Callithrix jacchus: one gene and its partner. The protein of the gene in region 1 purifies or fractionates together with the protein of each later gene. This does not show direct contact. Links are inferred from orthologs where the notes say so. Each region holds a gene or a part of one and is shown on either strand. Other genes may lie near its edges.

Region 1 (3,910 bases):
GCGCTGAGGGGCTCTAGAGCGTCTGCCAGGCGGGGCCAGGCCGGGTGAGCGGGAAGGACACGCGGCGAGGGCAGGGGAGGGGAGGGCTCCCTCACGTGGGTCTTGAGGGCAGCCTCCTGCCGCGGGCCCCGGCTCTGGAAGTAGTGGGTCATCCAGCCTCCCAGCGTCAGGGCCCGGTACGCAGCCTCCAGGTCCCGCTGCCTCAGGAAAGCTTCCAGCGCTGAGCGCAGGTGGTGCTGTCGCCGCAGGGGGGGCACAGGGCTGGGGGAGAGGCATGCCTGGGTCCCAGGGCCTTTCCGGGCCCCGGCCCCAACCCCCACTTGGAGCTGAGGGGAGGACCAGGCTGAGAAGCGGGCTGAGGGATGGCCGTGGTACGAGGGGAGGGGTCCTGACCCCTCGGGCCCACCCTCACCCCCAGGCAGCCTCACCTGACATTCATCTTATGGGTGCGGAAACCGAGGTAGGGGTCTAGGACGAGGCTGGTGGCCAGGTCGTCGTTCTCACACAGTTCTCGTGCTGTCACTCTGTCGGGCCCCATGGTACCCCTCGGACCATGCTGCCTCTGGCAGAGAGCAGGGGCAGGTGAGGGCAAGGCGGGTGTGGGGAGCCTGGCTTGGTGCTGACTCCACTCCTACGCTACTCAGAAGCGGTGGGGGATGCTGGCGAGCCCCAAGACCTCATCTGCAAAATGGGGAGAAAAGCAGTGCTGACTTCGCCAGACTGCTGGCAAAGATGGAACGCAGCAAGTACTTCTGAGAGTGGGGAAACCCAGAGTGATGTCAGTCATCACCTTAGCGTCTCTATCCCCTCTCCTTCTGCAGCGCAGACTACAGCCCCCACGTGCAAACGGCACCAGGCACACCCATGCAATGTGCACAGAGACACCCTCCACACACATATCTCTACCGGCCCAGGAAAGGCTGACTGGCAGCCAGGATCACCCTAAAGGCTTAGCACCGTGGGGAGCGGCTTCACCTCTAGCCCTCAAGGAGGAAAAGTCAAAGCTTCCCGCCAGCCGGAGGTCCCGCCCTCCACCCCCACCGCGGCCCTGCCTCGGTCTCCGCCCCCTGCCTCCCCGGCAGCCTCCGGGAGTGGTCGGGAGGCTCCGGGTGAAACCCCAGGCAGCGTGAGGGGGGTGTGGGGAGGGAGAGCATGGGGAGGGATCCCAGCACCTGCTCCCTCTCCAAGGATTCCAGGGGAGGGGGGCTCAGAGGACAAAAGCAGGGGTGGGGAGGCAGCACAGGTCAGCATGTACAAACAAATTTTTTTAAAGAGCAAGGAAAGAACTGAGAGGAAGAAAACAACCCAAAACCCCAACGCGGACAGACGGCCAGTCGTGTCCCCGCACCAGGTCGCCCAAGGCTCATCTGCGCCCGGGAGAAAATGAGACCGGGCAGGGCAAGGAGCGGGAGCTGCAGAGACGGCGGCAGAGGGGTCGGGAACAGACTGGGAGGCTGCGGGAGAGAAAGAGGGGGCGCTGCAGGAGGGCGCCGGGGACGGCGGGGGAGCTGGAAAGGAGGCTGGGGGCAAAGACAGAGACGCACAGTGGTGGGGACGGCAGGGGACCGCGGGAGGGAGAAGGCTGCAGCCCGGCCTGGGGGTGCCCAGAGGATGTGAGGAAGGGATGGGGGTGCCAGGAAGGACAGAGACAGGGGGAAGGCCTAGAGACCCAGGGAGGAACAAGACGGGGGACGGCAAAGTGCCTGGGCGTCCAGTGAGTGAGGGGCCGGAGAGGGCAGACAGCGACCCCGGGAACCAGACAGGGCTTTGTGGGGTCCTGAGGGACCCCGGAAAGGGAGACCCTAGGGAAGGACCTGGGTAGGCGGTGAAAGCCCAGGGCAAGGGACCTGGAGGGTCAGAGGCCGACCTCAGGGTCCAGAGAGAACGAGGAGAGGGACAGGGGGTCAGCGAGAGGTTCTGGGGCACAGAGAGACCTAGAGTGTGCAGGAGGAGGCCTGGAGGGTGGGGGGAGGTCAGGTATTGGCCCTGGGGGTGCAAGGAGGGCGCAGGGGCGAGAAAGGGGTCAGGAAGGCCCTGGGGGTGCAGGGAGGGCGCAGGGGCGAGAAAGGGGACAGGGAGGCCCTGGGGGTGCGGGGAGGGCTCAGGGGCGAGAAAGGGGACAGGGAGGTCCTGGGGGTGCGAGGAGGGCGCAGGGGTGAGAAAGGGGACAGGGAGGTCCTGGGGGTGCAGGGAGGCCCTGGGGGTGCAGGAAGAGGCCTGGAGGGCGAGGTCAGGGGTGCAGGAGGCGGCCTGAGGGTGCAGGGAGGGCCGTGGACGTGATAAGGGAGTCAGGAAGAGGCCCGGGTGAGAACGCACAGGGAGGAGGCTGCGATGCTGCGGAGCCCGAGGCCTGGCGAGGGGACAGGAGACGTGGGCGCCTGGACACGAGGAGGGGCCGGGCGGGGTGGGGGGCAGTCGGGGCAGGGAGCAACTGGAAGCCAAGGCGGCGCGGGGCTGGGGCCGTCAGGGGGCTCAGAGGTCGGGCCCCGCGCCGCCCCTCACCCGCTTCTCCTCCTCTTCAGGCGCCCGCGCCGCCGCCGCCAACACCTCCCACTGCCTCCTTCAGCTCTAGTCAAACACTGTCGCCGCACCTCCCATCTGATCGCTGGGCCCGCCCCGCCAAGGCCACTGAGGCTTTCTATTGGCTAAAGCCACCGCCACTCCTCCGTTGCTATGAAGCTCACGGTCCTCTCATTGGCCAAGCCCCACTCTTTCCCTCCCCACCAGTCCTTCGTCAGTGCCCGATAAAATCCCGCCACGCCCCCGCTTCCGTCAAACGCCGCGTACTCTTGCGAGTGGCTCACATCGCTGTCCTTCAGCCGCTGCCCTGGAGACTTGTCCCGCCTCCTGCCCCCACTGAAGCCCGAAATGGACGCACTCATTGGCCGAAAGCGCAGTCGCTCCCGGCGAAATTCGGATTGGGTCGGGTTATTCAGGTCCAAGTGGAAAGAGGGCGGGCTCTGCCAGCTCCGGTAGTCGTATGTGATTGGCTGGCATTGGGACAGCCCCTCTTTCCATTAGCTATAGCCTCCGTCCATCAACCATAGAGTCGCGGCCTCCTTATTCTCTTTCTCCTAGGAAAGCTTCTGCCGCAGGAGGGAGAAAGCCAGAGCTGGGCGTGAGGGAGGCGGGGAATGCGCGCGCACCGCCGTCCCTCTCCCCTCCCGCCCCTCGAGGCCTGTGGTTGCCAAGGCGACGAAACTTTATTGACAGCTCTACCTGGCTACAAAGGGCTCCCCAGTCTCTCTCCCTCCCAGACTACTGTCTCTTTCCCTCCCTTCCCGATTACGCCGTTTCGTTTTGGGAGTATCCACAGGAACTCTGTGGGACTTTCCCGCGATATGAACGGGGTCGGATGGAGGGGAGGCTGAGGGAGGAGTGGGGGCTTTAGAGACAAGCGCTGTCTCTGGGGCGCTCCCCTGGGGCACCCCCTAATTGGGATCACCTCTCCACCTCAACCCTGGAGGCAAACGTAACTAACAATTCATCATAATTACGCCAAGAATAATAAGCTCCACACTCAGAACAGGCGGTCTTTGTTTGCTTGTGTGTTTCTTTCGCCACAGCCATCCTTCGCTTAACCACACTGATACCATCCGAGCAGCGTGCTCAGGCGATGTCGTCATCCTGCCAGCATCCTAGAGCCACTCACTCACTCACACCTACGTGGCAGGGCTGCTGACACCTGGGCTGGAAGGTGGCCCGGGGCTCCCGGGCCACACAGCTGTGCAGCATGTTACTGTCCGGTTACACAATGTAGGCGCTTGTGTGTCTACACATAGAAAAGGTACCGTAAAAATTCGGTATTATAATTTTATAGGATCACCGTCACACATGCAGTCCACCGGGTAGCTATAAATCTTGGGGCCTGGCCGGGCACGGTGGCTCATGCCTGTTAATCCCAGCCAGC
Region 2 (3,810 bases), on another chromosome or scaffold:
CTGGGATTACAGGCGTGAGCCACAGCACCCAGCCCCTATCTTTTTTTTTTTTTTTTTTTTTTTTTTTTGAGAATTTCACTTTTGTCCCTCAGGCTGGAATGCAATGGTGTGATCTTGGCTCACTGCAAACTCTGCCTCCCAGGTTCAAGTGATTCTCCTGCCTCAGCCTCCCAAGTAGCTGGGATTACAGGTATGTGCCACCATACCCGGCTAATTTTTTATTTTTAACAGAGACAGGGTTTCTCCATGTTTGTCAGGCTGGTGTCGAATTCCCAACCTCAGATGATCTGTATGTCTTGGCCTCCCAAAGTGCTGGGATTTCAGGTGTGAGCTACCACCACGCCCCGCCCCATCAGAGTTTTATATCAATGTGACAGGCTCTGGCGTCACACTGCCTGGGTGAGAATGACAGACCTACCCTGCTCATGAGCTGTGTGGCTTTGGGCAAGTTAATTAACCTCTTTGTGGTAAGGTTAATAAAATAGAATTTTAGTATCTACTGCATAGGTATTTCACAGCACATGAAATGCAAATGATTTGGAACACAGTATGGCAAATGGTAACAGTTCAAAAAGTATTGTTAAAGTTGTGCTCGATTATCTAATAATTTTTTGTAACAAGGTCTTGCTTTGTTGCCCAGGCCAAAGTGCACTGGTATGATCACAGCTCACTGCACCTTGATCTCCTAGGCTCAAGCAATACTTCTGCCACAGCCTTCCAAGTAGCTAAGACTACTAGGCATCCACCACGTCTGACTGATATATTTTTTTCTTTGTAGAGACGGGGTCTTACTATGTTATCCAAACTGTCCTCCAACTCCTGGGCTCAAGCAATGTTCCTGCCTTGGTTTCCCAAGGTGCTGGGATTACAGGTGCGAGCCACTGTGCCTGGCCAAAACTGTGCTTCTGTTGAGCACATGATTTACTTTCAGAACCAAATATATAGTCAATCTCATTTCTTCATCCATAAAATAGTGACTATACCTATGACCTTATACACAATGAGTTGTCATGAAGGTAAGACTTCTTGGCTTCTACTTCAAATGATCAAGTTTCAAATCCCAAGTCCTTACCAATTAATATGTATTGTCTGTTTAGTGCCAGAGCCTAGAATCTAATTCAGCACAAAGATATCTCCCCAAATTGCCATACTAGGTCAGTAGGCAAGACAAGTATAATCTAGTTTTACAGTCAAGGGTAGAAGTAAGAGGTTACTTGACTTTCTGAAGCCACAGAGATATAAGTGAAGCAAAGATTGGACCAAAGCATATGTATACTGAAGGAACTAAATAGCTCATTTCATGCCAAGAATATGTGTAACAGTTTTTATTATCGAAGATTATATACTTCAAAATCAGTGCATTGTTTGGCAATACTAAGATGACACACAAGTACTTTTTGATGGTCAATGCCATTAATGAACTATAATCAGAAAGTTCTCTTTACATTGTTCTTACTGTAATACAATGGCTTTCAATAATCCAATCTTAGTATTGTTTGTACTAAAGATTGCTAGCCTTGGATCACGGGTGATTGGTTGGATCAGTGATCAACTCCATGAAACTAAGAAAAACTGCCCAAGTGGTATAAGCACTTACTGCACATTTACATAATGTAGACTAAACCACACCTATTCTTATTGCCCTAAGTATTAAAATATTTAAAGTAGAATTAAGAGGCCTTTTAGAAAAGTAGTTGAGATTTTTTTTTTTGAGACAGAGTCTCACTCTGTCGCCCAGGCTGGAGTGCAGTGGCACAATCTCAGCTCCCTGCAACCTACACCTGCTGGGTTCAAGCGATTCTCCTGCCTCAGCCTCCTGAGTAGCTGGGATTACAGGCATGTGCCACCACACCTGGCTAATTTTTGTACTTTTAGTAGAGATGAAGTTTCACCATGTTGGTCAGGCTGGTGATCCACCCGCCTTGGCCTCCCAAAGTGTTGGGATTACAGGCTTGAGCCACTGTGCCCAGCCTGAGTTTTTAAAAAACCAAACCATCAGGCGGGCACAGTGGCTCACGCCTATAATCCCAGCACTTTGCGAGGCTGATGGATCACCTGAGGTCAGGAGTTTGCACTGGACGGGGAGGTTGTAGTGAGCCAAGACTGCGCCACTGCACTCCAGCCTGGGCAACAGAGTGAGACTGTCTCAAAATCAATCAATCAAGCCATCAACCTTTTACAAACGGACAGGCTGCTAGGCAATACTGTATACTTACAGCATCTCTTTTCTTCTTTGATTTGCTGTCATCAGATTCACTGTCAGATAAAGATTTTCTTTTTGTACCATCTTTTTCTTTGCCAGCTTTTTGAGAATTAAGAAATGCTTCAATCAACTCTGGACAATCTAAATTTTCTTCAGGTTCCCAAGTATTGTCAGCACTGTTAAAAAAAAAATTCAATTAAACATGATTCATCCCCATTACCCAGATCCATTTTAATAGACACCTGGGGAAATAAAAAGTCCTCTGTACTGCAGATACTAATCATTTCCTCCTTCCCTACATTTTATTTCTCCCGACCCCGGAGACAGGGTCTTGCTTTGTTGCCCAGACTTGAGTGCGGTGATGCGATCAGCTCACTGAAGATTCCCAACTCCTGGGTCAAGCAATCCCCTGCCTCAGCTCCCACTCCCCACTCGCCCAGTAGCTGGGACTACAGGCATGCACCACCATACCCAGCTAACTTAAAACACTTAAAAAAAAAAAAAAGAGAAGGGGTCTCTCGCAGCTGGTCTTAAATTCCTGGTCTCATGTAATCCTCCAGCCCTGGACTCCCAAAGTGCCAGAATTACAGGTGTTAGCCACTGCACCCAGGCCCGACAAGTCTTTTGAGAGAAATCTGCTATTTTACTTCCAAGTGAAGTAAACTTTACTGTAACAGAATAATTCAAACGGCTGAACAAATGTAAATTCCCAATTCCCACCCCAAATTAGTATGTCATATCATGTCTAGGGTTGGGACCTCCAATGCCATGTTTTAAGACATAATGATTCTGAAGCATTAGACATTTTCAATTTTTGCTGGGTGTTCAAATTGGGAAATGGTATAGAGTGGGCTGGTAAACCAAAAGCTAAATCCAGTCTTTTGTATGGTTTGCAAACTAAAAATATTTTTACGTTTTTAAATGGTTGGAAAAATATTTCAAACTAAATTATACGTAATTTGAATTTTAGTGCCCACAAATGAAGTACCATTGGAACACATCCACACTCATCCGTTTAGATGAGCAGAGATGTAGAGACAAGAGACCTGTGGCCCGAAAAGCAGAAAATAATTACTACATGACACTTTAGGGGGAAAGGTTGCTGACCCCTGATACAATGTAAGGCTGAGATGACTATTTCTATGGATTTTTTAGAACTGCTGTAAAAAAGAAAATGAGTATCAATTAATAGACGTGAAAGTAAGATCACCCTACACCAACAACCGGCTTGCCAACTTCGTGCTCTGGTTCAAAAAAACCTTTACAGAACTAGGTGTGATGAAGTTAGTAATTTTAGGGACGCTGGGGTAACTGGATCATGAGGTTAGGGGATTGAGACCAGCATGCTCAACATGGTGAAACCTTGTCTCAACTAAAAAAAAAAACCACAAAAATTAGCTGGGCTGGGGATGGGCGCCTGTAATCACAGCTACTCAGGAGACTGAAGCAGTAGAATTGCTTCAACCTGGGAGGCAGAAGTTGCAGTGTGCTGAGATGGCACCACTGCACTCCAGCCTGGGCTACAGTGAGACTCCTGTCTCATTAAAAAAACAAACGAAAAATGAAAGCAGTCTTCTACATTACCTATTACATTGCACATGGCATGT

The links.
Region 2: the proteins of KMT5C (region 1) and CBX3 purify together in Homo sapiens (affinity purification with western blotting; 3 studies listed by BioGRID and IntAct, with this or other methods). This does not show direct contact. The link is inferred for Callithrix jacchus from reciprocal best matches to the Homo sapiens genes KMT5C and CBX3.

What each region holds. Positions count from the first base shown.
Region 1 is NC_133523.1:48,211,227-48,215,136, reverse strand, and holds the start of KMT5C (histone-lysine N-methyltransferase KMT5C), read right to left. Parts: upstream 2,571-3,910; 5' UTR 2,503-2,570; exon of another isoform or gene 2,317-2,502; intron 1,455-2,316; 5' UTR 1,349-1,454; intron 682-1,348; 5' UTR 539-681; coding exon 429-538; exon of another isoform or gene 262-428; coding exon 96-261; exon of another isoform or gene 1-95. UniProt on the Homo sapiens protein: Histone methyltransferase that specifically methylates monomethylated 'Lys-20' (H4K20me1) and dimethylated 'Lys-20' (H4K20me2) of histone H4 to produce respectively dimethylated 'Lys-20' (H4K20me2) and trimethylated 'Lys-20' (H4K20me3) and thus regulates transcription and maintenance of genome integrity.
Region 2 is NC_133512.1:31,891,538-31,895,347, forward strand, and holds part of CBX3 (chromobox protein homolog 3), read right to left. Parts: intron 2,380-3,810; coding exon 2,217-2,379; intron 1-2,216.